Notamacropus eugenii: one gene and its partners. The protein of the gene in region 2 interacts with the protein of the main gene of each other region in a pairwise test. Links are inferred from orthologs where the notes say so. Each region holds a gene or a part of one and is shown on either strand. Other genes may lie near its edges.

What was found.
Region 1: the proteins of RASSF1 (region 2) and SUV39H2 interact in a two-hybrid assay, tested with the Homo sapiens proteins (2 studies listed by BioGRID and IntAct). The link is inferred for Notamacropus eugenii from reciprocal best matches to the Homo sapiens genes RASSF1 and SUV39H2.
Region 3: the proteins of RASSF1 (region 2) and LATS2 come close enough for resonance energy transfer, tested with the Homo sapiens proteins (2 studies listed by BioGRID). The link is inferred for Notamacropus eugenii from reciprocal best matches to the Homo sapiens genes RASSF1 and LATS2.
Region 4: the proteins of RASSF1 (region 2) and STK4 interact in binary tests that used the Homo sapiens proteins (3 or more experiments, as listed by UniProt). The link is inferred for Notamacropus eugenii from reciprocal best matches to the Homo sapiens genes RASSF1 and STK4.

What each region holds. Positions count from the first base shown.
Region 1 is NC_092874.1:166,643,010-166,650,856, reverse strand, and holds the start of SUV39H2 (histone-lysine N-methyltransferase SUV39H2), read left to right. Parts: upstream 1-4,835; 5' UTR 4,836-5,121; coding exon 5,122-5,152; intron 5,153-5,511; exon of another isoform or gene 5,512-6,659; coding exon of another isoform or gene 6,660-6,666; intron 6,667-7,847. UniProt on the Homo sapiens protein: Histone methyltransferase that specifically trimethylates 'Lys-9' of histone H3 using monomethylated H3 'Lys-9' as substrate.
Region 2 is NC_092872.1:4,982,699-4,990,570, reverse strand, and holds the start of RASSF1 (ras association domain-containing protein 1), read right to left. Parts: upstream 3,019-7,872; 5' UTR 2,905-3,018; coding exon 2,574-2,904; intron 1-2,573. Other genes in the region: ZMYND10 (zinc finger MYND domain-containing protein 10), read right to left, coding at 4,419-4,512, 4,773-4,898, 5,972-6,093, 6,309-6,434, 7,266-7,438. UniProt on the Homo sapiens protein: Potential tumor suppressor. Required for death receptor-dependent apoptosis. Mediates activation of STK3/MST2 and STK4/MST1 during Fas-induced apoptosis by preventing their dephosphorylation.
Region 3 is NC_092876.1:188,106,243-188,113,616, forward strand, and holds the start of LATS2 (serine/threonine-protein kinase LATS2), read right to left. Parts: upstream 3,013-7,374; 5' UTR 2,729-3,012; intron 1-2,728. UniProt on the Homo sapiens protein: Negative regulator of YAP1 in the Hippo signaling pathway that plays a pivotal role in organ size control and tumor suppression by restricting proliferation and promoting apoptosis.
Region 4 is NC_092872.1:521,326,839-521,334,244, reverse strand, and holds the start of STK4 (serine/threonine-protein kinase 4), read right to left. Parts: upstream 3,013-7,406; 5' UTR 2,831-3,012; coding exon 2,796-2,830; intron 1-2,795. UniProt on the Homo sapiens protein: Stress-activated, pro-apoptotic kinase which, following caspase-cleavage, enters the nucleus and induces chromatin condensation followed by internucleosomal DNA fragmentation.

The DNA.
Region 1 (7,847 bases), on a different chromosome or scaffold from region 2:
ACTAAGTACTTTTCTGTTTTCAGAAATGTATCAAAATTATGAAGAGTAGAAAACATAATACTTGTTTAAGTCAAAAAGCATATTTGAGAAATAAAATACTCACCAACACAGTTCAATTCCATATATGTGAACATTTATGTAGCAATTCTGGGGGCTTCTTGAGATGTAAAGTTCTTTTTTTAAATAGAGCACTGGAAATTCTACATTACTCTCCATGCAAATATACAGAATCAAATTTGAAGTGAATGCAAGTCATTTATCTTTTCAATATACACAGACTAGTCAGTAACATCATCTCTGAGTGCTAGAGAAGGATGGATGATGGCCAGTAGCCACATGCTGGAAGATGATATTATGCTAATTGTGTCAAGCCTTGAAATGATCTATTTTTCCTCAGTGAAGTTCATAGTTACTCAGAGATCAGTCCAACAAATGTAGAAAACATAGAATAACCTGTTGCTCAGCCTGTGACATGCAGCTGGATGTGCAGTTCATTGAGTCAGACCATCAGTACCTGCATAGACACTGGAGATGAATCCCTGGCTGGACCTAGAAGTGAATAGAAGGAAGAAAATAGTTTGAATTGCTTATGGCTAATTAGGTAGTATTGCTCCCTGACATGTAACCCAAATTTATAGAACAACTGTTCTTCTTTTGATTCTATATAGCTATGAATCATGGTACATGATCAAGCTTCAGGTGACTCACAGGTCAAGGAATGTATAATAGGCTGCAACATACTACCAGTGATGATCTGTGTGGAAAAAGTAACCTAAGATAGATCATCTGGGAGGTATGTTAACAGGAAAAAGAGGTGGGCAGTCATGCTTCAACAGCACATTCTTCAGCCTTTTGAAGTAGAGCGGATGTTATCCCTGTTTTGCATATTAGGAAACTGAGGGCATAGAAACTAGATGTTTTGTCCTAGTATCTCTAGCTAAAAGTGCTAGAGCTAGAACCTGGAACTCAGGTCTTTTGACTCCAAGACTATAGTTCATACTGTTACAATGCATCACCTAGGAAAGCTAAAACACCAAGAAATGAAGTGATTTATACTTGGTGTTTTAAAGACTTAGTGTTAGTTCCTGGATTAAACTCATCACCCCAGTAGCCCTGTTTTGCTACTTGGCCATTTGAATTTTATCATCTTTCTCATCTTATGTTTGTCCATTGTAGATTCACTTAAATATTTTGGGGGGAAAAGTAATACAATATTATGTGCCTATTTTAGAAAAATATTTGGTATACAACAATCTTAATTTATGGAACAGATTTTAAAAATGCTTTTATCTTGTCAAAGGATGCTTCATTTTATAGAATATTTAGCATTCCTCTGATGTGTACTGAAAATTGTTTGCTGTATATATGTTTGACAAGTAAAGTATAATTTTAACTTTCTCCCTTTGCCCATCTCTCTGGTATAGGAGACCTTTGTGACTTTAGAACCAACAACCATTTATTAAGAACCCTTTATGTCCTGCACACTATAAAGCAGTGGGAATACAAATCTAATAATCTTTTCTTAATTCTGATCATCCTTAATCCCAATAGGAATTGACACTGAAAAACACCATCTTTTCTGGTTACTGTCCTGTCTAGGTTTCCATGACACTGTTCTTATTTTCCTCCTGTCTATCCAACTGCCCTTCTCAGTTTCCTTCGATGACTCGATGTTTCCTAAGACTCTTGCCCTGGGCCTACCATCTCTCTAGGTCCTCAAGTGAGGCCCTTTGACTGAATCCAAACCTCAGAGAACAAATCCCCTTAATAAAAGCGTTTGTTCTGTAAAACTTGGACTCAGTCAAAAGGCTATCCCCAAGGACCTAGAGGGCCACATGTGGCCTCGAGGGTCACAGCTTCCCCACCCTTCTTATGCCCATGTGTTGTTCCATCATCACTTCTCACCTCTAGATCTATTTAATCAGCCAAGTGGATCTCCAACTGCCTCTTGGACAACTCTATTAACATCCTAGAGGCATCTCAAATACATGTCCCAAAAACAGAACTCTTATCTTTCCCACCACATCCTCTCCTGAACTTTGCTATCACTAGCAAGGGCACCACGGTCCTCCCAATCACTCAGACCCACACCTCAGTGTAATCCCTTGACTCCTTACTCCCACTCCCCTCCACATATTTAGTCTGTTGCCAAGTCTTGTCATTTTACTTTCATATCATCTCTCAGAAGTCCCTTTCTTTCTACTCATAGCCTCATTAGCCATGCTAAGTTCAGGCTCTTTCTTATATCTTGCCTGGACTACTATAATAACCTAACTGGTCTCCCTGTTCTTAAGCCTGTCCCTGCTCAATCTATCCTCCATTCATTTGCCAAAGGGATTTTTGTATAGTGTAAGTCCACTGAGTGAATTCCAATAGCTCCCTTTTACCTCCAGGATCAAATATAAAGTCTTCTGTTTGGCATTTAAAACTTGTCATAAGAGGGTCCCTTCCTACCTTTCTAGCCTTACTCTCCTCCCCAAACTCTACAATGCAGCTATGCTTGGCTTTCTTGTATTTCCTCGAACATGATAGTCTCCTCTCTCTGCCTTTGCACTGGCCTTCCCCCAAGTCTGGAATGATCTGCCCCCTCATCTCAGCTTCTTAGTTTCCTTCCTTCCAGACCCAGCTCAAATTCTATCCTTTGAAAGCCTTCCCGCATTCCAATAGCTGCTATTGCCCTTCCCTTTGAGACTAACTTAATCTATGATATGCTACATATCTTGCATCCTCCTAATAATTTATATATTATCTCCCATTAGAACATAAGTACCTTGAGGGCTATTTTCTGGAGAACTCACATGGGGCAGGTGATCACATGGTGGTCAGAAGAAGCAATACAAGGACACTCATGGTCTCAGGAAATCTGGATTTGACTGTGCGACATGGGAGACACTGGCACAGGACCGCTCAGCATGGCATGCCCACATCAGAAAGGGTGCTGTGCTCTATGAGCAAAGCAGAATTAAGACAGCACAAAGGAAACATAGGATGCTCAAATTTGGAGTAACCACCCCAAATGTTCAGACTATCTGTGCCCAATCAGTGGCAGAGCATTCCAAGCTCTTATTGGTCTGATCAGCCACAGTCGGACACATTGAAATGTGACTTTATTATGGTCATGTCATTTTGGTCCTCTTGGAGAACAAAGGACAACCACCACCAACCAACCTTGGGGGCAGGGAGAACTTGCTTGGTTTTTGCCTCCCTTGTATCCCCATAACTTTGCAGAGTGCCTGATACATATGAAGTACTTAATAAATGTTTATCGTCTGACAAAGCCAAAAGTGAAATAGACCTTGTCTGAAAAGAATTTATATTCTAACATACAAAATGAATACAAGGTAGTTTCAGGAGAAAAGACTAGAACTGAGAACGGTTTCCTGCAAAAGATAATGCTTAAGCTGAGTTTGGAAGGAAATGTGAGGTTCCAGGAGGGAAGGAGAACTAGCCTTCCAGGCATGGGGGAAGAGTCAATGCAAAGGCCCAAGAAAGGGGAAATGTGAGTGGCCTATGGGAGGAAACAGGGCAAGTAGGCAAGTATGGCTAGATGGTGATGAAGTATGTGGAGGGGAGACTGGTAGATAGGAAGGGGACAGTACGTGAAAGCTTCAAATGTCGAACAGTGGGATTTCTATTTGATCCTATAGGTCACAGAAAGCCACCGGAGCTTCCTAAGCAGTTAGGAGACATAAGACCCTGACCTAAGGAAATTTATTTTGATAGCTGAGGGAGGGAAGCAAGGAGATCCACGAGGCCCCTGCAATAATCCAGGCGAGAGCGGATGAGAGTCTGAGCTAGGGTGGTAGCTGTGAGCGGACTGAAGAGGACAGGTGCTGTAGAAAGGGAATCATCGAGACTTAGCAGTTGTCCACGTGGGGTGGGAGTGAGCCCAGCATGAGGCAGGGTTTTAGACTGGGTGGCTGGGAGGGTGGTGGTCTTTCCGACAAGCAGGAGCAAAGAGAAGTGCTGTCTGGGCCCTGTTTGGGATGTGTATCGGATACGCAGCTGAAATGTCCGGTTGGGCAGTCTGAGGCTGAGGGATTGGAGCAGCAGAGCATTAGAGACAGGTGATACAGTCCTGATGGAGGGTGGACTGAACCGCGGGTGCCAGGGCGGTGACCCAGAGAACGGAGAGAGAAGGCACCAGCCAGGATCCTGGCAGCCAGCGGGGGCTCGGATACACCTGGGGAAGTCGCCTCCGCCGGGGCGACCAGCCCAAAGCCGAGGCTGTACGGGCGGCACTGGTAGAGCGATGCGCTAGCCGAGGACGCGGGCAGCGTGGACCACCCCCCAGCTCGGACCCTGCACCGCCCCCCCCCGCGTGGGCAGCACGTTCCTGACAAGCACCCACGTGCCCCTCGGGCTTGCGCTCTGCTCGATACCAAGGATCGCAGGGAGGCTCTGGCTTTCCCGACTCTGACGTGTTCACAAAAGACACCCGGAAGATTTCTGCTCAGGGCTTTCCGTGGCCAGCCCCGGAGCCTGGGCACTTGTGGCAGAACCACCATTGCAGTTAGGAAAGCAAAGTGACGGAACTGGTCACAAGCGGGATGACCACTGCCTGCACTGTTTAGTCACGTCAAAGGAAAATCCTGCCTAAGTCGAAGAAACAGTGGAAAAAGCCCTAAAACTGCAAAGCGAAACCCGGGCCTAAGCGGAGGACTCTCGCAAGGACGGATGAACGTCATCGCGGACTGAGGAGCACAGCTGTGTAGAAAGCGATCTGCGCCGGGCTCCCGGCAGGCGTGAACACGCGCGCCTCGCCGCAGCCCTCCGCTCGGGTCGCACGCACGTCCCCGGGCCCGGGGTCCCGCCCTCGGCCGCCTGCACGCTCCGATCTGCTCTCCGGGGCCCGGGAGAGGGGAGGAGCTCGCGCTTCCCGCCGCGCGGCCTCAGCCGCCCTCCAGGGCCCGCTTCGGCACCGTGGGGAAGCCCGCGGCGCAGCGGCCACGGGGTCCGGGGAGCCCGCGCGCTGCCGCACCGGCGCCCGTCATGCCCTGACGTGTGGGCCTGTCTCCTCCCTCCCCGCTCGTCGCTCGGAGCCGGGTAAGGGGCGGGGCCTCGGCCCTCCAGCTGAGCGGTCCGGTCAGACCGCGCCAGTTTGAATGAAGGTTCCACAAGATGGCGGCGGCCGCGGCCGGAGCGCGAGGAGGTGAGGGCTGGAGAGGGTCCCTGCCCCCACCCCGCTTGTCTCACCTCTCACTGCCCAAGCCGCGCTCCCCGCGTCTGGAGGACCGGGAAGGAGACCTTGATACCGAGGGGCGGCCCGCCATCTCCCCGCTCCTGACGCGGTGACCCCAACGTGGGGAGCGGGACGGGGGCTGGCCCCCACACTGTCCCGCTGGCCTCGGCCCCTCGGCCCCCAGCTTCGCTCCCTCCTCCCCTCCTCTCTTCCTTTCTTTCCTCCTTCTCCCCTCTCTCCGTCTCGTCCCGTCCCGTCCCCTCTCCTCTCCGCGCCGCGCCGCACGCTGGCGGGAGGCTCGGGCGCACGCCGCGGGAACTGAGCCGGGTTGGCGCCTCTGCCCCCGCAGCCCGCGCCGGGCACGGTGGGGAGCCGTTTACCGTCGCCCTCCCCGGCCCCAACGTTTCGCGGGCCCCGGAGGCGCCGCTGGCCGGGCCCCGGGCCCCCGGGCCCCGCGCCGGGCCGGCTTTGGCTCCCCAACTGTAACGGAGGTGGGGGAACGGCGGGCGCGAGGTGTGGGGCCGAGCGGGAGGCGCCCGGCCGCCCCGAGGGGATTAGTGGTTGGCTAATCCCTGAGCAGGATCCGAAGGCTGGTCGGGGAGGCTGCGGTTTGACTTCTTTGTGGTCCTGCGGAACTCAGATGTGGTGGGGTGGAAAAGTTTGTCGGTTTGTCCTGGGGAGGGCCCCCGGCCCGCAGTCGGGTCCCGGCCGTCCCGAGGGGGAGGACTTGGGGCCGGGGCTGTAGAGAGGCCGGAGGGGAGGGGGGAGCGTGAGCCCGGAGGTCCTGGGAGCCGGACGCGCTCGGCTTGGCCGGGCTGCGAAGAGTTGGGGAGCTGACCCCCACCCCCACCCCGGGGGCTTCCGAGCCCCAACCGAAGCAGGTCGGAGCGGGGGTCTGTGCCTTGGCGCCCCAGGACGCAGCGGGCTAGAGCGGCTGCTTGGGGAACACATGGCATTCCTGTAGACCCGGAGCGGGCCGGGAACCGCCAGCCTTTGTGCGCCCCGCAGCCAGCCTTCGCTGGTGGGAAGCGTTAGGCTGGCAGGAAGGTTTTCATTTAGAGCACCGTGCAGGCGCCGCTCGGCTCCTGGCCCCCTGGAGTGCCCCCGCACAGAAATAGAACATTTTGAGTAGTCCTTTGTAACCCACCGAGTTCTCCTCCATTAGTAGATGCGGTGTCCTTAGCACCGGGCGGTGGAGGGGCCCCTCGCTTTGCGTAGAATTTCTAAGAGTTTTAGATCTGTAAGGGACCTTCCGAATGAGCCCGGGACCCCAGTCTTTGCTGAGGACTTGAAGTGATCTTTGGGTGTGGGAGACACCTGCTGGCAGTGAAAACGTGGGGGGTGTTTGTGAGGAGGCTGCAGTAATCTGAATATTCCTTCATTATAGCAAGGGAAAAGGTATTGTAGGTAGGTTTATCCCCCACTGTAAATACCAGATCACAGGAGTAGGTGTGGTGGCTCTTACTGGCTTGGAAGTATGGAAGGTAAGGACTCTGAATCTGCTGCTGAGCTCTGTTCCAAATTCTTCTATTTGGCCCCCTCTTCACCGTGAAGAATCTTAAGCACAGAAGGGGTTAAATGCTTTGCCCAAACTTCTCTAGCAGAACCTCGAATAGAATTCTGTTCTCCCATTTTAGTCCAGTACCCCATTATACCAGAGAGACTATGGATTTAAAAGTCGCGAAAGGTTTTGCTCAGATCACTGTTTTTAAAGGAGTCTTGATTTGAATTTTTTTTTTGCAATACGAATAATTGGATTCTAATATTTTTACGTTAGGATGAAGAGTCCTAGTGGAGGACCTAGGTTGAGACCTTAGCTTTGCCACTTACTCATTTGTATGTTTGGGTAAATCACTTGACCTCCCTTAGCCTTTCTTTCCCTGTTGCAAAAATGAAGAAGTTAGACTAAATGACCTTTAAGGCCCCTTCAAAGTCTGTGATCTTAGTAATAAGTTTAGATTTTAGTATATCTATATATATATTTTTCTTAAAGTGGAACAGATTTGTATACATTGCAAGATCACATTTCACAGTATTTGGGGCATCTTACAGTCCATTCATTACTTTGACACTGCTTTAAAAAGCAAAAATGAAAAAATTAACATTGGAAAAATGAATGTCGTATCCATTATGGGTACAACTCTTGGGTTTATTTATTGTGAAGTTAACACGTTATCATCTTAGAGCCTAACTTACCTCCCAGGTCCTGTCCAGCCTCTGGCACATTCTAGCTCTGGGACCTTGGACATGTCACCTGATTTCTTAGTGCTGGGGTGGGAGAGAGGGGAGAAGACTACTAAGTGGTGTATGATCTCTATTGGTGGAGGGAATTGTTGCTCTCAGGAGTTCATTTTACCAATTAAATCACAGGGCTGGATTGAATGGTAATGTTACAGCATGGGCAAGACAAGTGTAAATTTTAAATCTCACAGCCTTTCAGAGTGAGAAAACTGTAAACTAATGCTGTAAGTTTGACGTGTTTTGGTTTTCAGCTCTTTTTCCCATTTGTTGGTTAAAGAAAAGAAAGAACTTTATTACAAAGCTGTACATTTGGCTTCATTTTAAAATTTCTTATTTCTTTTAACATTTATAATATGTTCTAATAGTTGGCCAGGGGGTCCTATAACTTCCATTAATAAAGTAATTGTGTACATAAATGTAATGA
Region 2 (7,872 bases):
ACGATTATCTTCTTTACTTTCATAACGAAGTCACCAAGTGCTAAGATGTGTGTTGACTGACTTTGTACAACTTGGCTGTTGAGTTCTATCATTTTTCTAGTATAAGAAATTTGGTCATGTGACTTTCATTGCTTGGGTCTCATCAACTTTCGACCTGAATGTCCTGTTTGGTATTTCTGCCTAACATCTCCCCCTCTAATTCATTCTCCACGAAGCAGCCAAACTGAGAGACCTCAAGCATGAGTCTGCCAGTCACTCATCTCACCCAGGAGCTGCAGCAGGGCTCCTTATCCCCTCCAGGATAAAATATAAGCTACGGTTGGCATTTTTACTTTACTGTCTAGTTTCAGACTCCAATCCTGGCTGTAACATATTGCCTCTCTCCTATCTTGGCTTCTGCACAAGCTGTCTGTCCCCCTTTGCCAGGAGTGCATGACTTCTTCACTTCTACCAGCTCAGATGAGCCTTTACAGGAGGCCTATACTGATCCAGGGACCTTTGGGACCCACTTCAATGCCCTCATTTTATAGGTGAAAAAGCTGAGGCCCAGAGGAGGTAAGTGACTTGCTAAGGGTCACACAGCTGGCTAATGGGACAACTAGGTGGCGCCATAGTGCATAAAGCACCTGGCCTGGAGTCAGGAAGATTTATCTTCCTGAGTTCAAATCTGACCTCAGATATTTACCAGCTGTATGACCTTGGGCAAGTCACTTCACTCTGTTGTCTCAGTTTCCTCATCTGTAAAATGAGCTGGAGAAGGAAATGGCAAACCACTCCGGTACCTTTGCCAAGAAAACCCTAAAAAAGAGTTGGACAGGAATGAAAATGACTGAACAACAACACACAGCTAAGAAGTGTCTGAGGCAGGACTGAGACTTGGGTCTTCCTGACTCCGAATTTAGCCCTCCTCCATTAGTTCACCCAGTTGCCAGTTCCCACTCCATAGCGAATTTGTATTTGCTCTACATGTATTTTTATTTACTTATCTGTGGGCATGTCACCCTCCCCTTCCCCCATATAATTTATGCTTCTCGTGGGGAGGGTTTTTTTATGCTTTGCATCCCTAGCACTGCATGGCACACAGTAGGTGCTCAATGAATTGAATATTGGCTGAATGTCACATGATTATATGGTGTTTTGTTTGCTTATGCTCAGTCTGAGCACTGTGAAGATAAGATGATCCAAATGTTACATTAAATGATGTTTTTTGTTAGTTTTGGACACAAAATCAACTCCCATTACTTGCTTCTCAGAGAAGATGCTGCAAGCCCTGGCCATGCTTAGATTGAATGCCCTCTTGTTTTGTCAATATCTAGAGTATCAGCATTGATGTGGTTCCTCTTCTCCAATAATGTGTCAGCTTGTTAGTCACTGGACAAAGATGGAACTCAGAATATCAACAGTTAAGTTTATGTTTGTTGGTGATTCCCAGCACCTTCTGTCCCTTCCCCACAGATCTCCAACACTGAGGAAGTTCTGGAAGGCTGTTCCACAGGACCTTGGGCCATTTTCTATGGGTCACTGCCCAGTCCAAAAACAAACCACATAGTGGTCTTGTTTTCGTGTAAAGACGTTCATTGGCTTTCATTAGACTGGTCCTCCAAGGACTGACATCACCAAGGCCGCATTCAGAACTTTTCTTGGTTGGTAGAAAGGGCCAGAGCTTGCACTGCATTGGCCAAACTTAGAGAAACCTCTGGTCTCCTCCATACCACAATGGCATTTGTGGTGGCGGGCACCAGTATCCCAGTCCAGTAACACGCTGCTGAGTGGAAGTACCAGGAGGAAGGCAAGACAACAGAAAGCGAAATGAAACTGTGGTGGCCAAACCCGATCTGGGAGTGGGGGTGGGGCAGTGGGAGAGTGACCGCCTAGGCCAGCTTAATTTGTAGATGAGAATCATTGGAAATGAGCACATTCGTTGTGTCTATGCAAATGTTGCTCAAAGTGCTTGCAGATGGCTTGTCCAGTAAATAGGTTAAATATTTGCCCAGCAAAGTAATGCAGTGCAACGCTGCTAAGTTTTAGCAGCCAAGATCTTCTGACAGGGATTGGCCAAAGGTAAACTTTATAAAGGTCAAATCACACTGACCGCTGAAGGTGGGGGCTTCTACCTTCTGGAGCATTGTGGCTCCTGAGCAGGACCTTGTGCTGGCGAAGTCTTCAAAGAGCTTACTAACTGGGGTTGGGAGAGAGATGAGGTGTGGGGTGTAGCTGCTAGCCACATGGTTATCACCTCCCCCATGGTCATAGTGAAGGAATGGGCGGAGAGGTGGCCTTGATATGGAGGGGAAACCTATTGCAAATGTGGGTCCAAGGCTGTGATTACACCAGGGCCTCCCCTCTCCCTGCCTCAGGCACACTCACTGCTGCTAACCTGGCTGACGCCAGGTGCACCTGCAAATCCCGGATCCCACTCCCTTGGGAACTTAGATGTTCTCCTCTTTCCTCACACTCCCCAGGCCTTGCACCCCACGAGGTGCAGCTCCCACGTGGTCACACCCGAGCACTTTGAGCCGCAGCTGTCTAGAGTGCGGGTTCCCCCCCCCTCGAATTCAGACCCCAGTACTCACGGACACATTGCAGGCCCTTGCGAATGACACCCCAGATGAAGTCCCCACAGAGGTCGCACCAAGTGTGGGTGCCGGGCCCTGACGGACGGAAGCAGTGGCCCCGGCCGGGTCCGGCCGTGAGTCGGGGGTCGCTGTGGCCGCCCAGCAGACGGATTTGCCGGCCGCGAGGCAGCACGTCTGGGCCGCGGCCCGGGGCGATGCGCAGCGCGTTGGCGCGCTCCAGCCGGCCAGGGCTCCGCGGGCCCGGGCTCCGGCCAGGCTCTTGGCCCCGCAGCCCGTCGGGGTACCGGACCAAGTTCCGCAGCTCTATCAGCTCCGGCTCCGCAGACATTATCGCCTCTCCAGGCGTCCCTCTGCGGGCGGCTGCCTGTTCTGGCCACTTCTGTCCCTCGGTGCTCTTCAGCTGGGATGGTCACTGCTTCGTTCTGCACTTCCTCCCCCTCCCATCCCTCCCCCCTCCCCTCCCCCCCAGCCTAAGTTCAGCGTCTGCCTTTGCCTGCAGTTCTCTGCCCGTCTCGATCTTTGCCTCTCGGACTCAGTGGACCGCTAAGCACCCTGGCTCTCGGGCCCTGTCACTGCAGGGGGCTCCCTCGCCTTGTGGGTCCTGGGATGGGTAGCAGAGGTGTTGGCCTCCTTCTCCCCCTCCCATCTATGGGTCCCAGATTAGGGCGGAGCCGGCCCTTCCAACTCCTAGCGCCTTCCGAGGCTGGAGTCCGCTCCCCCGCACTCCTGTCCTCGGCCCCCACTTCGAAGGCTCGGGCAGCACTGGACCACCGGCCCCGCCCCAACCCGGGGGCCCTGCCTCCGTTTGCTGAGATCCCCAGAGCCAAAACCACGCAATGGAAACTAGAGTCTGGGAGGGGGCTGGCAGAACTCAGCCTTTGACTGGGGGCGGGAAACGAGTGCAGGGAGGGGCCAACCGGAGGGGAGGAGATCCGAGCGAACCATACCAGAAATGTGCAAGTTGGGATGAAAGAGCCAAGGGGGGTGGGGTGGGGGGCACTTCAGCCGTTACAGGGAAAGCAAAGAGGGAGGGGGCAATGGTCGTCTCTTCTCCCACAAGGGGAAGGAAGTTGGACCTTAGAAGCACCAGTGCTCCGTGTGGACCTGAACCTAAGAAGGGGCCCAGCTGACCCTGGCTCCTCGAGCAGCATCCCGCCCACCTCGGCTGGGGTTGCTTTTCCCCTCCTTCCCTTTCTCTTGGAGGCCCAGCTGGGCCCCACAGGAAGCAGTCTCAGCCTTCTTCCAAAGCCATCCCCATCCCATCACCAGGCAGGCCTTAGAAGAGAGAGGCCAAGCTAGGGCAGTTTCTCACTGCAAACAGACAGAAGCTTCTTTCTCAAAAGAAGGCATTTACTGTGCTCTAGAGAGAGGAAGAAGGTACCCCACATCCGCACTTTCCTGCCACAGACTCTCAGAAAGCAGAGGGAAGTCTCAGCAACCCGACCTTACTCCCTCCTTTCTCTAGGTGCTGGAAGGACTCACCCTACCTAGAATTCCCCCTCCCCCTTCGCCAGGACAAGAAGAAAGAGCTAAGGATCTAGCGAAGTACCCTGCCCCACTCCCAGGAATCGAAGGAACCATCCTTGGTTCTAGACTCATGTAGTCTGGGCTTTCCTGGGAGCTGCAGGGCTAGGCAAGGATGATTGGGTTACCAGGGATTCAGAGCAGGAAGGGCACAAAGCAAGTAGTGGCCTCTGCCTGATTGGGGAGCCTGCAGACCAGTCTGGCCTGGGGGGCTAGGGTATGTGTGTGTATGGGGGAGGGGCACATAGCTGGCATAGTGGGCACTCTGGGGGCTTGGTATGATGGGATACCCAGAGGGGAGATGAGCAGCAGTTTCTACTACGCTTTGACCTCCTCCTTCATGCTGTCCAGCATCTGGGCCATTAAGTTACAGGATCTTCGGTGTTTCTGCCAGTGTTTTACCTGGCATTCCCTGTTTAAGAGGAAAAGGAGCAACTGAAGGCTCAAGGAGGTTCTGTTTAGCTGTTATCCTAAGAAAGGAATGGGTTCATGGGCCTCAGGGACTTGGCCCTTTTGCCTTGATCCTGGGCCTCTGAATGGGAGCTCCTGGAGCCCAGGATCCTCCTGAGCCCTTGGATCAGTGTTTGGGGAGGTTCTACTTCCTGGGACAGGGAAAAGAAGAAGGGGGTTGAAGTCCTGGGCAAGCGGATTTGGGCACAGCGGTGAACATACCGATTACAGTACCACTCGTTCTGGCACCGAGAGCATCGCTTGGAGGCCTCAGCCTTGCAGGAGGCACACTTGGGTTTCTCAGGGCTCAGTGCCTCCATCACATCCAACTTGTAGGTCTCTGCCCATCTGGAGAAAAACAGAGGAAACGGGGGCCCCAAGAAGTGTAACCAATATGACCACACTGTCTGGTCTGGGGGTTTTGTCAAAGAGGCTGGGTTATACACTTTGAGGTGATATCCCATAATACTGCCTGGATTCTTATGTATCTCCATGTTTTTTTCCTGGTTGGGGGTCTGGGAGGGTGACTTAAACTGAATTTGAAATCAGAGGATATGAGTTTAAATCTAGATTCTGCTACTTGCTGCCTTTTTGACTATGGACAAGGGTTTTCCCTTCTCCAGCTCTCAGTTTCCCAGGAAGTTCAAGTAAAGAAACCTAGGGGCTACACCAAGTGGTCCCTCAGGTCCTCTCCTGCTCTAAATTTCAGGGTCAGATGATTAGTCAGGTATGTAGAAGTGGTACTTCTCCAGACCAGCCATGGTATTATGAGGCTTCCTGATTGGCTGACAGGGATCTGGGAGATACAGAACAACCCAATGATCTTGATCCGAGGAACCCAAGTGGGTGAATCCCAAATCACTGTTATTGGGGACTTGCTCTGGGATAGAAGAAACCATTCCTGACTGTGGCCTATGAACCAGAGGAAATCTTGGGCTGAACCTGGTGAGGGAAGCATTAGCTAGACAGATGTGCTTGAAAACTAAGTTCCTGCCTAACCTGGAATTGGGTCAATTTCTTATCCACACATGTCTAATCATCCTGCCCTGGAATATTTCTTTTGAATGGATCATCTAGTTTTCCTCATAAAACACATCTTGGAAAACTTTTCTTTTGGGAGGTGTGGCCAATAAGGGTATTAAGTACAAGAAGAAGCAGAGGCCAGTCATGGTAGTAGAAACAGCAAAGGGGCCAAGAGCTCAGGGGCCTAGGACAGTTGGGGAGCTCCAAGCTCAGTCTGAGATTTAGAAAGCAGGGAAAAGTGACAGACCTGACCCAGGCTGAGGGCAATAGCCCCATCTTGACCAGCCTGAGGAGGAAGGAGCTAGTGCTCTGTGAAGTTTTCAGGCATCAGGGACCCCTGAGACTCAGGGCAAATCCCTCTTAAGGGTGGGTGAGTTTGGCATTGCCCCCCAACCTACCTTCTGGCCTGTAGACGTAGTTCCTGCTCAGAGAGAGTAAAGACGTGCTTCAGCTGGTATTTTGCAATGGAGAGCCACTTCCCCCCATTCTTCTTCTCTAGCCGGCTCCAGATTTCTGGGATCTGTGGGGAAGGGCCATGGAACAGGAGAAGGCCTTGACTAGCAAGTCCAGGAGCCAATGAATATGGCAGAAGGTGTCATGCATAATACGTTTGACTGTGCCAGTAAGAGAACCGAGGGGTTTGCCCTTATTGACAGTCCTCTTACCACTGGACCCCACTGTCCAACAGGACACTGACCAGTCAGACTCCTGTTCTAGGCTTTTCCCCCTCGATACCTGCTCCATCACCAGGTCCTTCTTGGGAGGGAGGGGTTCAGTAAGTTCCAGGTGGCTCAGGAAGCGCTGTAGATCCATCAGGTTGGGTATCTGGTCCAGCAAGATATCAGTGAACAAGGGCCGGAGCTGGGAAACAGAGCCATGGAAAGCAATGAAGAAGATCCAGGGAGCCCAGGTGAAGACCTCTGAAAGGTTCCCTAATACCCTGGATTCTGTCCTCCAAGCCTCACCTGGGAATGGGGAGACACTGGGCTAAGCAGGCACTACTCTCAGACATGAGGACTTACAGCTGATGAGCTAGGTTTTCTTTGCACTTAGGGCAGTCATGCATTAGTATGCTGAACATCCAAGCAGAACCTTGCCATGGAGGGGAGTGTGTGTGTGTGTGTGTGTGTGTGTGTGTGTGTGTGTGTGTGTGTGTGTGCGTGTGTGTTGTGTGTGCTGGGGGCAATGGTGACAGAGGAGAAAGAGGTTGATGCCCAAGGTCTGAAGAGGATGCATTGAGGTGGCTTTCTCAGGAGGGAAGGAGTCATTCTAGTGGGTGCAGTGACCTGGGGATCCAGGATCCTCTCTGATACTAGTGGGGTAGGGTAGGTAGGAGGGAGAGAAAGTGCCCTGGGCTCAGGAGCCATGTCAGCTGACTGAATCAAACTTAGCCAACACTGAGACCCCTGTTCAGGGCCCTCCACCAAATCCAGCCACCTGGAGGAGTTTGCTCTTTCACCTCCCTAGACAGAATGAAGGAAAGTTTTTGAAAACGGCCACCCTTCCCCTCTCTGGGTTGTGACCAGTTGGTGAGGGTGGCAGCAGCAATGGCTGTGCTAGCTACAGGAGCTGGGAAAATGGAGAGAGTTGGAGTAGAGTGACTAGGAGCCCAGGGGGGAGGCCATGGGGCATCTGTGAAGGCTGGATGCCCTCTGTTCACCCCTCCCCCATGACACTCTCTGCATGACTCACCTTAAGGAGCTGGTTCTTGTTGAAGCCAGTGAGGTCATACTTGGGTTGGCATTCAGGGCTGAGCAGCAGGTTATACAGGGCAATCCACACCTGACCATCTAGCTTGGTCAGCTTCGAATAGTCCGAGGCGTTCACAGTTTGCCACTTGCCCCCCTCAAACTTCTTCAACTGGCCTGAGGAAAAAGCAATGGAGAGGGGAATGGGAGAGGTGGGAGGAGACAACAGAAGGGAGAATAAGCCTTGTGCCAGGAGGCTGCTCTAAGCCCTGTCGCTGCCTTGCTTTAGAATCCTGGACAAGGCTCTCCATTTCTTTGGGCCTTAACTTCATGATCTATAAGATAAAGGGCCAAGGACAGCCTGCATCTAAATCCTCTTCAGTTCTGAGATTCTCCATCCCTTGGCTACAGGATGCACAGGCAGATGTGGCCTGAGTCTAGATCCTACTGGGAAGTGGCAAGGTTTGACTTTTCAGACATAGTTATGGAATTCAGAGAGATTGCTATTTGCTTTTGCTTACTCCCAGCTGTCTTTAATCAAAAGAGCATATCAAATGCTCTAGAGAGTCACTGTTCTCGATCAGAAGTGTCCCAGACAGAGCCGGCATTTG
Region 3 (7,374 bases), on a different chromosome or scaffold from region 2:
CTTATTTTTTAAAGACAATCTACCTTGTACATCCCACAGAAAAACTCCTTAAATCACTTCTCAACTTACTATGTGTTATGTTGTGAACTTATCAACATTTCTTAGATTTCAGATTTGTGGGATGACATAAGGAACTAAACAGTACTTTAAATGATAAGACATTTTATCTATAAACTTTGACCTCCCAATGCTTCATAAAGACTTGGTAAAAAAGAGAAAGAAATATGTATTGTTTTAGTATCAGTTGAAAACTACTTCAAATTACATGAGGTGGTTTACACTCTATGTCTCTAATGTCCCTACTAGCTCTAAGTTTCTAAGATCCTACTAATTAACCTGAATATTTCCACACCAGTTATTATCTAAGACACAATTTCAAAATTATCTGAGTTTCTGACTTTGACTCTTCTGATTAAGTGCTCAGAGAATTCGTTTCAAAGGAATACACATATATTCATTAAGCAGAATTCTCTATGTAACTGGAGCTAATTAGACCAAATTTTATGAGGTCAACTCAAACTGTCATGTAAATTTAAAAGACCCTTTTCTGAACAGTTCATTTCTGCTGAATTTGGAAGTTCTAATTTAGTGATACATTTGAATTACAATAGGCATTGTGAAACAAGCTAAAAAGGTCGGAAGTAGCTCATTCCTTGTAGCACTCCAAGAATGAATGGTTCTCAAGCAGATGTTAGGGAATCCAACCTGCAGCAGATATTTATCCTAAAATAAAGGCCAAAATCTTCTAGGTACAACCTTTCTGAAAGTAAACAACTATCTACTTTCACCTTTATTTGCTTCACATTACCCACCAATTTCAAAAATTTTACAATTTGCAGACTATTTGAGATCCAAACAGAAATTAGGAACTGAATTCCTGCTTCATTCTGGCTGCCTTAAAAGTATTCACAAAGTTTGCTTTAAAAATAAACAAATTCATGAAAAAATTATTTCTGAAAAGATTTCACTTGAATTTTTACTTATCGTATGTATTGCTGACATTCTCTATTAATATTACCTTCTCTGGCTTAGCGCTGTTCACAAAGCTCAGGTCACCACATATGTTACAAATGAAGACTTTAAGTTTGCCCTAAATGTGTTTCTCTCCTCCTCCATAATGTAACAGCTGCTGTCCTTATCCAAAACCTATTTTATTCACACAATGTAACTCCTAAAGATACATCTTGATGTTTCCTTACAAAGTATCCTGTAGACAGAGCTTTTAATAGCATTAGCTTTCACTTCACCGCAGGGAATATATAGGTGGTATTTACCAGCTCAAGGTCACATGGTGAGTCGGGACTATTTCCTCCTAGGAGGTTACTCTAACCATGCCGTCTCCATACCAACAAGACATACAGATGTAGTTTTATTCTGATACACTATACAGAAAACTTGGGAAGAATCAAACATTAAAAGCTTTCCGGCCAAGTGCTCCAGTCTTCTGCCAATCTGGTCCCATAGGCTGCATTTTTCCCAAAAGGAAAATTGAAATTCCTTGTTTCCAAAGACAGGTAATGTAGATAGGTAATATGCAAACAAACAAAAAAAGTCAAGACAACACAATGAGCACCTTCCTCGGTGGTCCGGGGAAATAAACGCTCCGGGTTAGTGCGAGCGCGTGGCATTAGGAAGTTAAGAAAGTCAAGTCCCAGAAAAGTCAGCTAAACTAGGACACAGGGAAGACATGTTATGCAACTGCCACCAGAACTACCGCGGCGAAAGTATTCCCGAAACTTAAAGAGCTTGTTGGAAACAGCGAGACAAACTTATGAAGGAGAAAGGGAAACTTACAGAGAAAAAAGCCTGGGAGAGAGCCTGGATTGAGCCCCAAGGGTATTGAGGCCTGCGTGGGACATCCCAACCAGTGACGTGCAACTGCCCCTGGGACGGGCCTGGCCCAGCTGAGCCAAACAGAACCGAGTTGTCAAGAGCCCCGGGGCCAGCAGCGCCCCAGCAGAATCAGAGTGTCTAGACTCAAGGGACCTTTTGATGGAAAAGCCCAGTTCAACATCCCCGGGTCCTCTCGCTCTCTCCGCCTCTAAGGAATGAGAGAGGCATCTCCCCCACCCCCGCCCAGGGAGGACACCGTCTCCGGACTCCTCCAGTTGCCAGCTGGGTAGAAAAGGGTAACCCTGCCCCTTCTTCACACACCACAGAAAAGCCATTCCTGGGGACGCACAACAAAGAGGCGCACCCGGAGCTTCACCGCCCGGACAAAGTCCCCGCGGCCCGTGCCCTGCCAACTTGTCCCAAACTTAGTTTGCGCTGCAGTAGAGGCGGCGGGGACGGCGGAGACGGAGTTATGGGCTCTCTGAGCCATCGCTCCACCGGGCGAATTCACCCCCCTCCAGGATGCTCTGGGACCGTCCTCGTCCCGACCCGACCCGACACCGGGTCGGGTGGGTGCTATCTCCCTCCAATGGGAAGTAGCTGGGGCGGACTAGGGGAAAACTTCCCTTCGGTCCCTCTACTCTCCGCCCCAGAGTGGGGGGCCGCCGTTGCCCTTGGCCGGAGCCAGCCCCACGCGGCGGAGCGTCGCGGACGGACGGTCCGGAACCTCCCGCGGCGAAGGTGGGGGACTGGAAGGAGGAGAGGGAGTACCCTGAGCTTGGCAGCCCCCGGACAAACTTTTGATAACTGCAGCCCCCCTCTTACACACTTAGACACACACACACACACACACACACACACACACACAATCACTCCACACCCAGCGCCTACTCACTTCCAGAGACGGGTGGGGTCTAGGAACAGCGGGGGCCGCTGACCAGCGGCGCCTCGGCGGCTTCTCGCGCTGAGCGGCCGGGCACGGGCGGCTCGGGCCGCTGCTGGCCCCGCAGGGAGGTGGGTGCCCCGGGCGGAGGCGGCAGCAGCGTAGGAGTCGCGGGCGGCGGCGGCGGGGGCTGCTGCGGCGGCGGCTGCTCCATCTTCCCCGGGCGCTCACGCCGCTGTTCCAACGCGCAGACCCAAGTGGGACATTCGCTACATTGTTGGCATTCCAAGGGCGTCACGTGACCCCGCCTCCCGCGTCATTCTCCGCCCGCATACCAGCCCGGGCGGGGCTCCTGCAGCCGCCGGAGCCGCCGCTGTGGGTCCGGCCGCTGCTCCTACCTCCTGCGCCCTCCCAGTCCCCCGTCACCCAGCCGGGGCACCGTCTCTGGCCCCGGCCAGTGACGGATTCTCCAGCTTTGGTTGCTGTTATTTCTGCACTTCTGCCCCCGCCCCACAGCTCTCCCTTGGAAAAGTTTGTAGCCCCACAGGCCCGTGCTGCCGCTGGCTTCTTTAAGGATCTCCCTGGGGCTGCCGAGGCGTAGACCCACTGGGCTGGAGGGGAAAGCGAGTCACCAAGCAGCTGGCAGTCATCAGAAACATGGCGCAAGCAAGGGGACCCCTCCTAATTCCTTAAAGGACCCATCGGACCGCGCAAAGAACGAAGGCTGTCTCTTTGCAAACCGAACTTAAGCTCCCTCCAGTCCCACTTGACCTCGTATATTTTGTTTGAACTGCAGTACAGTGCATAAAACAGTGTGTTTTCTGCTGGCAGTATTGAGTGACGTGTGTGTGTGTGTGTGTGTGTGTGTGTGTGTGTGTGTGTGTACTTTGTACAGTGCTGCGTTAGCACTTCGGGGCTGTGTACTTTGTAGCAAACGAAAATGAAGCGATTGTGCAGAGAAGCTGGGAGGGGAGTCAGATCCAGAATCTATTCCTGAATCTTCCATTATGTTTAGTTCAACAAGTTATTTAGCCTCTCTTTAAGAGAGTCCTACCTTAAAACAAGCAACGGAGTATTATGGAGGCTCTTCACGAGTTCGGTCACCGAGTGATGAAGTTTTTGAGCATGGTTAACTTTCAAAGTCTACTGAGTTACAAAGAAGTTGCATTCTGCGTTGTGGAGGTGGGCAAAAACCAATGCCAGTGAAATCATCAGTCCGTGAAATGTAATATTAACTTACTATCTCCATCTGTTAGAGGGGGACTTAATATCCACATTGAGAACTAGTTCTCATTTAACAATAAACTACTGTATTTTTTTTGAGTCATTTATACTTCCTGGGGAATAATAACAATACAGTAGATCATTGCTCCTCAGGATTATTTCAACACTGCTTCATTTGTCTTCCTACCTTTATATGCCTGGCTTTCAGGAAGTCTCCTCAGATTATTCCAGCCTGTGAGCTGTGAGTTCCTGTATTTCTATTGTGCTAAAACTAAGGTTAGAATACTATTGTATCTGGATCTTTATCACTACTTAATTGCTTAATTATCAATCAATAAATATTTGTTAAACACTTACTATGTGCCCAGTACTGTGTTAAACATTGATTATAATAGAGGCAGGCAGAATAATGGTTGGGGAGGTTGCCTAGGCCTCAGAAAGAGGTCCATGCTGAATGCCCAGGTATAGGAGAAGGAGGGTCCAATGTCCCAGTCCCTGGTGACCCAGCAATGGATCTCCCAAAGTTACATAAATAGGAAAGACCTGAGACCTCTATTTGGAGAGAGAAGGAGCTAGTAGGGAGAGGAAGAGGAAGATAAGATAGAATCACAAAGATGTAAATTGACTCTACTTGGTGCACTAGCTTGGATATGGAGGGTAAGGGAGAGTGAAAAGCTGAGGATGACTGAGGTTTCACACCTGGTTGACTGGGAAGATGATGGTTCTGTCAAAAATAGTAAGGAAATTTAAAGGATTAAAGACAGGTTTGGGAAGAAGGTGTGCTCAATTTTGGACATATTCATTTTGAGTTGGGACAACCAAGTGTCACTATCTAGCAAGCAGTTGGAGATCTAAGACCGAAGAGGTTGGGAATAATCATTTAGATTTGGGAATCTTTTTGGAGGGGATAACTGAATATAGGGGAGCAGATGAGAACAGGAAGGGAGTGAAAGTGCAAAGAGAAGTAGAGAGGACCTAGGAATGAGCTTTGGAAAATACCTAAAAGTAAGAAACTGGATATAGATGAATGAATTAAAACATAATTTATAAGGAATGACCAGATAGATAAAAAGAGAGCCTGGAGAGAGTCATGCCTAGGGAAGCAAGAATATCTTTTTAATATATAAATTCTTTCCTTGGACAGTCATGTATTAAGCTCCTATTATGTACAAAGCACTGTATTTGGTGTTGGGGGATTTATGATAATTAAGGCATGGTAGATGCCTTTTTAAAACACAGTCTAGCAAAGGATACATACACACATATGGAATAGCATACAATAATGATGTTGCAGAATGGGATTGTGTAGGAACAGAAGACAGGTACAAAGTACTTTGTGAGGTCAAAAGAAAGAGATAATTTCTAAATGAGACAATAGGGAGAATTTTCTTGGAGGAGTTAGCCAACGGTGGGGAACCTCGAGGCCACAGATTTCCCACCCCTGATAGCCTCTGAGATGAATCGTAAAGGATGACTAGAATTTCTAAAGCCAGGGTGTGGATGGGGGATGGGAAGGGGAGAGCATGCTAGGCATGAGAACCATGTAAGCAAAGACCTAGAGATGGGAATGCATCCAGGAGACAGTAAATAGTCTCTGTTAAGAAATTCAGTAAATGGGGCAAAGGATATTGTAAGAAGTTTCAGGAGTTCAGGAATTTGATTTGGGATGAATCCAGATCTGTTAGACTAGGTGAGGATTAGCTCTTTAAGATTATCATATGATTACCCTATTTTAGACAGGTCACAATCTGCCAGTGAGATTAGATTAGCTAGTTTTCTGAAAGAAAGGGTATTAACTAGGACAGAAGAGAAAACTCCTCTGTCTTCTGCCTAGGCTAGAGAGAAGGAAAGCTTCCAGTCACTGTGAAAATGGAGTAATTTGGGACCAAGAAAGGGTGAATGCAGATCCCAAGATTAGGAACAATGGGAAAAATTACATAAATTACATAACTTTTATTTAGATTAAAAGTTTTGATTTGTTTAATCTAATGGGGATTGGTGTAATATTGAGTGGGATAAATATTAAATTCTCAAGATATGATTTTAAATTAATTTTTTAAAGTTATTTTAGTAATATCTGTATTCTGTATATTGTAGTATTTATTGCAGTAGTCTAATTGTGAGCCCCTGAAAAGCAGGGCTTATATTTCTTTTTTAGGTACTTTTACCACTTGGCACCTGTTCCCATGCCTGGTACACTCTACCCCCTCATCTCTGACTCCTAACTTCCCTAACTTCCTTTAAGTCTTAATTAAAAAAGCACCACCTTCTACTGAAAGCCTTTCCTAGTCCTCCTTAACCTTAATGTCTTCTCTCTGGGATTATCGACAACTTACCCTGAATATACCTTGTTTGTACATGGTCTTGGTCTATATCTCAACTATCGCCCTCATTAGACTGTGAGCTCCTTGAGAAAGCAGGGACTGTCTTTTGCCTTTCTTTGTACTTTTCAGCACTTAGCATAATACCTGGAACCTAATGGGTGCTTAGTGGTTGTTGTCCTTATTTCTCAAAGAAGACCCAAATGACATCACTATGCTAGAGTCAAGCTCCTATGGGTCCGACTGTGATTGATCAGGCCAATATGAGCTCAGAATGCTCTACCACAGGGTGGGCACAAACAGTGCATGTGAACATTTGAGGTGGATACTCCAAATTTGCACATCCTATGTTTACTTTGTGCTGTTTCAATTCTGCTTTGCTCATAGATCACAACACCCTTTCTGATGCGGGCAAGCCACATGCTGAGTGGTTCTGTGCCAGTGTCTCCCATGTTGCACAATCAAATCCAAAGTTCTTGAGAGAGACCTTGAAAGTGTCTTTGTATCACTTCTTCTGACCCTCATGTGATCACCTGTTCCATGTGAGTTCTCTATAAAATAGTCTTTTTGGCAAGCATACATTTTGCATTCTAACAACGTGGCCAGCTTATTGGAGTTGTACTCTCTGAAGCATAGTTTGAATGCTTGGCAATTTACTTCAAGTAGGGACCTCAGCTTCTGGTACTTTATCCTGCCAGGTGATCCTCAGGATCTTCCTAAGACAGTTCAAATGGAAGCCATTCAGTTTCCTGGCATGGGACTGGTAGACTGTCCATGTTTCACAGGTATACAACAATGAAGTCAGCACAATGGCTCTGTAGACCTTCAATTTGGTAGTCAGTCTAATACCTCTTCTCTCCCATACTTTCCTTTGGAGCCTCCCAAACACTGAGCTAGCTCTGGCAATGCGTGCAACAACCTCATTGTCAATGTGTACATCCCTGGAAAGTATACTACCAAGGTAAGTGAACTTATCCACAGCGTTCAAAAGTGGTGTCCACCTGGGTGTTTAATAAATGTTTGTTGACAGACTGGGGATGGCTAAACAAATTGTGGCTAAACAAATTATTTTACCGTGCTATAAGAAATTAAGCATATGATGAATACAGAGCA
Region 4 (7,406 bases), about 520 Mb from region 2:
GAAACTGAATCCCGTGTAATTATAAGGACAAAGATTAGCCCCAGAGAAGACTTGAGAAAATGCATCTCCCTCTATTCGTCACAGAGGAGGAGGAACATTTTATATTCTGTCAGACACAGGTGGTATGACAACTGGCTTTGCTGAACTGCTTCCATTCATCTTTGTCACAAGAGGAAATGTGGGAGGTAGGGATAGATTCTGAATTTCTGGTAATAAAGAAACAAAACATATCAACAATGATAAGATAAAAACAATTATTTTTAAAGGATAGGTAACTACTGGTTTCATCTGTATTTCCCCCAAAATTTTCAGACTGAAATTTTTACACCTGGGCATTACTACATCATCAATAAAGATTTCAATCAAAAAAGGTTCTTAGTAATTTAATTTAATACTGCTTCTCACCCCCGAGTTATCTTTGGAAAAATGCTACAGCTTTACAAGTCCCATGCATCTTTCCATTGACATCCAGAGTACCTTCAACCTTGATTTTCCTGAGATAGTGGAGCGTGATGACTTGACAGATAATTAGCATCAATGGCAGAATTTTAGCATTAGAGTTATTCTTTTACAGCAGAGAGCAACTTAAGACACTAACAAGGAGGTGCAAATTCCCAAATGATTCAGTCCGATCTTTTCCTCCTACTCAATTCGAAGTTCATCTCATTATCCATTCATAACATAACACTCGTCCAAATTTATCTATAATGATCAATTATCACAGTGAACTTCCTATTTCACTAAATGTTGCCTGGGCAACATATTTTTTTTTTCAGTGACTTTTGCTTACACATCTATACAGGGAAAAAAACAACCAAAACAATTAATGATTATGGATCTTCCTGCAGCACTCTGGAACTCAAGGTAATCAGAACAATGTCATGTATAAACATTAGCAGTATCAAGACAATCTTGCTAATGACAGGAAATCGCTCTTCTATTTGGGTTGTATGTAGGTTAGCTTCTATGACACTTGTGAACAATTTACAAGAACATGTGTCTTACTTGTTTTGTGAGATTGACACTTAGTGGATCAATGAAATGATCTCCCTAGGAGTGCCTATCATGGAATCTTACACGATTTTAACATTTGTGTAACATTTTAATCTTTATATGGAAATTTCTCATTTGAGTAAAGGTGTTAGGGATGCATTTTTTCTACCAATTTTTAGAAAATGATAAACACAGTAGAATCTTACATTTTTCTGTACTTCTTAATCAACTATATTACTATGAAGATGTAACTTGCTGTGGAAAGTCCTTGTTCACAGTCTACCCATTCCTCTGTCATGTCTTCATCAAGGATCAACAATTCTCAAAAGATTTTAGAAATGAGAAAATAAGCAAAAACATGTTGACAATGACTGATGTCTTCTTAATCATCTTTTTTTAAAATAAACGAACAATCTATTACTTTTTCTATTTTTCTGGAAACAGATGGACAGACCACATGCTATATTGTGATATTCAAAGAACTCCAGGAAGGTCTTAAGCACATTGAGCAGGTCCTTCATGGAGAAATTACAGAAACAAGAGAAGAATCGTACAAGATGAGAAAGCATCAATTTACTCTCTGAAGTAAGAGTAAGAGACCAGAGATCCAAAATATCAAGAGTTCTTAAACGCTTGCGCATAGTCCAAATGATAACCTGAAAAGTTACACATGTGGTTTTTTGCATATATTGTCATATACACTGTCACCAATCCTTTAAACCAGCCTTTAAACTTAGCCTCGGTGATCAGTCAGTAGTTCTGTAACTCGTACCGAAAGTGCTCTTTGCCAACATGAACAAAGTATGGGCACATGCCATCCAAAGAATCCTGAGGGTAGTATCAACAGTTTACTGAAGACAAGCTCTGAGTCTTAACTGTCTAATGTCAGTATATGTGAAGAAATTACTTTTAAACAAATGACTACTTTAAGCAAAGTAAAGTCGACCTTGCCTTGTCATTTCACAAATCACAAGTTTGAGCAAAGTAAGAATGCTCTTATTTCATTATCCCTGACACACGTGTGAGAACCTAACTCAGGGAGGCAAACAGCATTTGCTCTGTTACTGACAGGGCATTATTATTTCAGATCCAAAACTTCAGAAGTGGAAGGAACCTTAAAACACAGATAGAGAAGGGTCCTCAGAAATGTCAGAATCACAGATTTAGAAGTGCACACTACTTTCCCTTCTGTCCATCTCTGTGCCCAAGGTGGCAGACTGAATTTTAAAAGTCTATGAGGAGAATATAAAGAAAGCGCTTGTGGGTCACTTCAGACTCTAGCTCTGAAGGATGATAACTCAATCAGGAGGACAGTCCTCTTAATGCAGATCACCTAGATGTTTACCCAGCACCCTTCTCACTTCCCCAGTACTGGACGGGGAACCCAGCAAAGGTATCGTTCGGACTAACTCTTTCCCACAGGCTCCTCCTGCCATCCCTGGGCTCGTAGGGAGCCTCTCCTCCTCACGGTGAACCCCATCCACGGCCCTCCGGCCCCCACTTCGAGGTCTGCACAGTGTTCCCGCACTCGCTCACACACACGCGCGCGCACGCACACACACACCCCCTTCCTCTCACTCACATACACACATAGCACCTCTCTCACACACGCACTCTCCTCACCCCTCATTCACAACTCACACATTCACGCCCACACGGGTCCCCCTCCCACTGGCGCACAGCCTCTCCTCTCACACACACAGCCTCCTCCGACACACTCGCAAACGTAGTCTCCCCCTAACACACTCACACATATTCGTCTCCTCCCCCTTACACTTACACACACACACACACACACTCACCGGCGCGGCGGGTTCCTCAACTGCACCGTCTCCATAGCGCGGCCGCCGGCAGCTCGAACCTGCTACTGCCCCATCCCCAACCGGTCCCTCCGACACTTCCGCTTTCCGCCCGGGCCGGAAGTGGGGCTGGTGGGGCCGCCGCGGAGGGGAGGGGAGGGGAAGGGAGGGGGAGGTGGAGGAGGTGGAGAGGCTCCCAGTGGGCGGGGCCTGGATCACGTGCCCCTCGGGGGCGGGGCCGGGAGAGTAAGTATACCGTTGCCAGAGAGGCCCCGCAAGGGGGCAGCCAGGGGTCTGTACTAGTGCCTGGCAGCCCCGCGGCCTTCGGCGCCTCAGCCAGGGTCTCAGTGCTGGGCAGTAGAGAGGGCATGGCGATCACGCGGCAGCGACCCACGTGCCCATTTTACAGAGGGGGAAGCTGGGGCGGGAGAGAGGGGAAGTACTTAGTGCAAGGTCTCCTAGCCAGTAAGCGCCAGAGCTGCGATTCGAGCCCAGGCCTTCCTCCACGGTCCTAGGCCAGTGGCATCTCTGCGGTGTCGCCGTAAGCCCTGCTGCGGCAGGGTATGGTCCTGGAAGGAAGCGCAGCAGTCACGCAGTTGGACCCCTGATTTCAGGAGAGGCGGTGGGGCCCGGCAGGAAGGACGGGACGGCAGCTGGGGGTTCCTGGTCTGAGCTTATTCTAGGCTGGTGTTCTCGATGGGTGCACCGGGCACCTACACCACTTCCTAATCCCCCTTCCGGCAGGGGGGCGTCCACGGAGCCGGGCGCCCGCGTGCCCTGTGCCCTGCCCGTCCTCCTCCGTAGCCTCGGTGCCGCAGGTGGAGGCAGGTGCGGGCATTCCTCTAGGCATTCCCCACGTGCTGACCAGTGCCCACTCTCCATAAGGCATAGTGCCAGCGGTGCCATCATCGCTATCTCACTGCCTAGGACTGCCCACCGCTGTGATCCTAGGAGTGACCACCCGTGACCCTGGGGGCCGTTTAGGGAGTTAGCATCTAACACTCAGAAACTAGACATTGCCCTGGCAGCGGATCCTGAGACACTCCCCTCTGAAAAGACGACAGAATCCTCCTTACTTACACACAGCCAGTAATTATCTGGTCCCAGCCTGAACCCATGTCTCTTTTCATTTGGAAGCGACAGAGCTAGATCATATTTTTTACACGATCTATCTACCTCACAGGGCTGCTGCTGTAGAGAATGTGTTTTGTAAAATGCCAGATAAATAAGTTTTTATTCCTATCACTAATAATAACTCACATTTCTGTAATACGTTAGTGTTTATTAAGAGCTCTCCTCAATATCCTTGGGAAGTGAGTATTAAAAGAATTGTTGTTCAGTCATGTCTGACTCTGTGACTCCCCCTGGAGTTTTCTAGGCAAAGATACTGGAATGGTTGTCCATTTCCTTCTCCTGTGGATTAAGGCTAACAGAGTTTAAGTGACACAGTTAGTGAAGATCTGAGGTCAAATTTGAACTCAGGGCTTCCTGACTCTAGGCCCAGTACTCTAGCCACTTAGCTTCCTCTGTTGAAAGTATTATCTATTCCCATTTTATAGATGGGTAAACTAATGTTTAGAGATGCAAAGTGAGCTTCCCAAGGCCAATATCTAGTAAATAGAGGACAGTTTCACTTCAGGTTCAGATGTGACCACTCTCTTGGAATGCTAAATCTAAGAGAACAGTAATGGTTTCTTTAAGGTTATTGTAACCTTGACCTTTTATTTGATTTAACTTTTACCTCAACCTAGAGATCATCCTTGGTTCCAAGGTCTATTATGGCACCAATGAGGTGAACTGATTCACTATATGGTCTTGGAGAGTAACTTCCTTTTTCATGGCTTCAGATTCCTCTGGAGAATGAAGGGGTTGGACTACATGATTTGTAATGTCCCACTTCGGTTATTCTAGTATTCCAAGATTCTTTTGGATGTTTCACTTTTTCAGACTCTAACAGTTCCCCTCCAATCATTTTGGAATTGGGCAGGAACACAATGACTATTACATAGATGTTTATTCTTCATTCTCAAAGAGGATCATGGTACTAGGAAGGTGATGCCATGACTTGTTTGTGAATTGGATTTAAGTGAGGGAGGGCTGTGCAAAGTCACCAGCCTCACTTTCTCCTCTGGAGCCATCTGAGTCCAGTGGAAAGAAATAGATCAGTATGATTGTAGATGGTGCTGCTAAGGCTAGGTGAGAAATTAGTCAAAAGATGTCCTAGTTTACATACTCAAAAAAAAAAAAGTCAAATTGGGAAGGGAAGACCCACAGGATTTATGTCTAGAACAGAAACAATAACAATTTACACACTCAGAGCCATCAAAACACAAACAATGACCAAGCAAGGCTTGAACTGGGACCTGGCCAATCTGTGAGAGTCAGAGTGATTTGAGTTTAAAGGCATAGTCAGTAGCTCTATTTGAATCACAAGGAGCTTTCTCAAAGCCTGGTTTTTCAGAGCTCTATTTCAAGAAATCATAAATGAAACTACACACAGAGGGTAATAATAACCCACAAAGGTGTATTGTAGGTGTAAATAAGCTGCAGCATATGACAAATAATGAACTTTAGGAGTGAAATGGAGTAAAGAATGTCATAATGCAAATGTGATTGGGGAAAAAAAGGACCTATCTTTTTTTAAAAATTTAATTTATTTTTAGTTTTTAACAATCACTGCCATAAGTCTTAAATTTTCATCCCCTCTCTCTCCGAGACAGCAAGCAATCTTATATGAATTCTACACATACATTCTTATTAAACATAAAAAAATTTTCACATTAGTCATGTTGCATGGAAGAATTAAAATGAATGGGAGAAACCATGAGAAAAACCAAACCAAAACCAAACAAAACATAACGCAAGAGAAAATATTCTGCTTCATTCTGCATTCCGATTCCATAGTTCTTTCTCTGGATGTGGATGGCATTTTGCCTCAAGAGTCCTTTGGGAATGTTTTAGGTCCTTGCATTGCTGTGAAGGGCTAAGTCTATCAGAAACAATCCTTGAACACTGTGGCTGTTACTGTGTACAATGTTTTCCTGGTTCTACTCATTTCACTCAGCTCAGTTCATATATGTCTTTCCAGGTTTCTCTGAAGTCTGCCTGTTCATCATTTCTTATAGCACAATAGTATTTCATTACATTCCTATCCCACAACTTGTTCAGCCATTCCCCAGTTGATAGGCATTCCCTTGATTTCCAGTTCTTGGTCACCACAAAAAGAGCTACTATAAATATTTTTTACATGTGGGTCCTTTTCCCATTTTTATGATCTGTTTAGGATACAGCCTTAGGATATAGCCCTTTGGGCATAGTTCCAAATTGCTCTCCAGAATGGTTGGATCAGCTCATGGCTCCACCAACAATGAATGAGTGTTCCAACTGTCCCGCATCTTTTTGAACATTTATCATCTTCCTGTTTTGTCATGTTGGCCAATCTGATGGGTGTGATGTGGTACCTCGGAGTTGAAAAATACACTTAGCTGGAGGTGAAGTTGAGGCACGACAAATTGGATCCTTTGAGTGCTCCACTGGTAGGTACATATTGTTATGACATCTGGAGAAATGGAAAAAGGTCTGCCTCGGTTTGTTGAACTTATAAGGGGACCTGAAAAAGAGCTGAATAGACTGGGCAGTCCTGTATAGTTTTGATCTGTATCACTGCAGGGAATTTGTAAAACAACAAGCTTATTGATCCATTTGAGTGAGTGCTGAATGAATAATAATAACTGATATTCACAAAGTGTTTTATTAAGGTTTCCAAAGTGTTTCCATATATTTGAATCCTGTACAATGGCTAGAGCAACTGGGCCTGGAGTCATGATGACCTGAGTTCAAATTCAGTCTGACACCTTTCTCTAATTTTGTGAACCTGGGCAAGTCACTTAACCTCTGTTTACTTGTTTCCCCATCCTTAAAATAGGGATAATAATAACACTGACCTCCAGGGTTTTGAGAATCATTTGAGATAATAATTGTAAAGAGTTTAGCACAGTGCCTGGCACATAGTAAGTGTTAGCTATTATTATTAATTAGCTGTTATTATTAAAACAGCCCAGAAGGTGAATCTTACAAGTATTTTTACCCATTTTACAGATAAGGAAACCCTGAGCCGGCTCAAGCAAACCATCACATTAAGCTAGTAAGTGCCAGAGCTGGAACTTGAGCCCTGGTGTCTCCTAATTCTGGTAATGGACTTGTTGAATAAATAAATCATAATGTATAGTTTAAGAGCTTGAAAGACCTATATCTAGAGTTGGAAGGGACCTAATCCAGTTGTCTCATTCTATAGATGAGGAAACCGAGGCTTACAGAGGTGAAATGAGTTCCCCAACAGAGCCAAGGTTAGAAGGCAGATCCTCAAACTCCAAATCCAGCTCTTTCTCCTCCTTCAGTGCTAACAAATTCCATCTCCTCCATGAAACTTCTCTGATCTTAAGATTCCTAAAGCTTTCTATTTATGCTGCCCTGGTGGTGTTTTCTTACCTACCACCTTTTATTTCAACTATAAGTTGACAAACCCTACTGACCTCCTCTGGTCTGGAAGCTGGGTGAGTTCTGTGACCTTCTCCTGTTTAAAAGTCTTTTTTCCCACATATAGGGTAGTACACA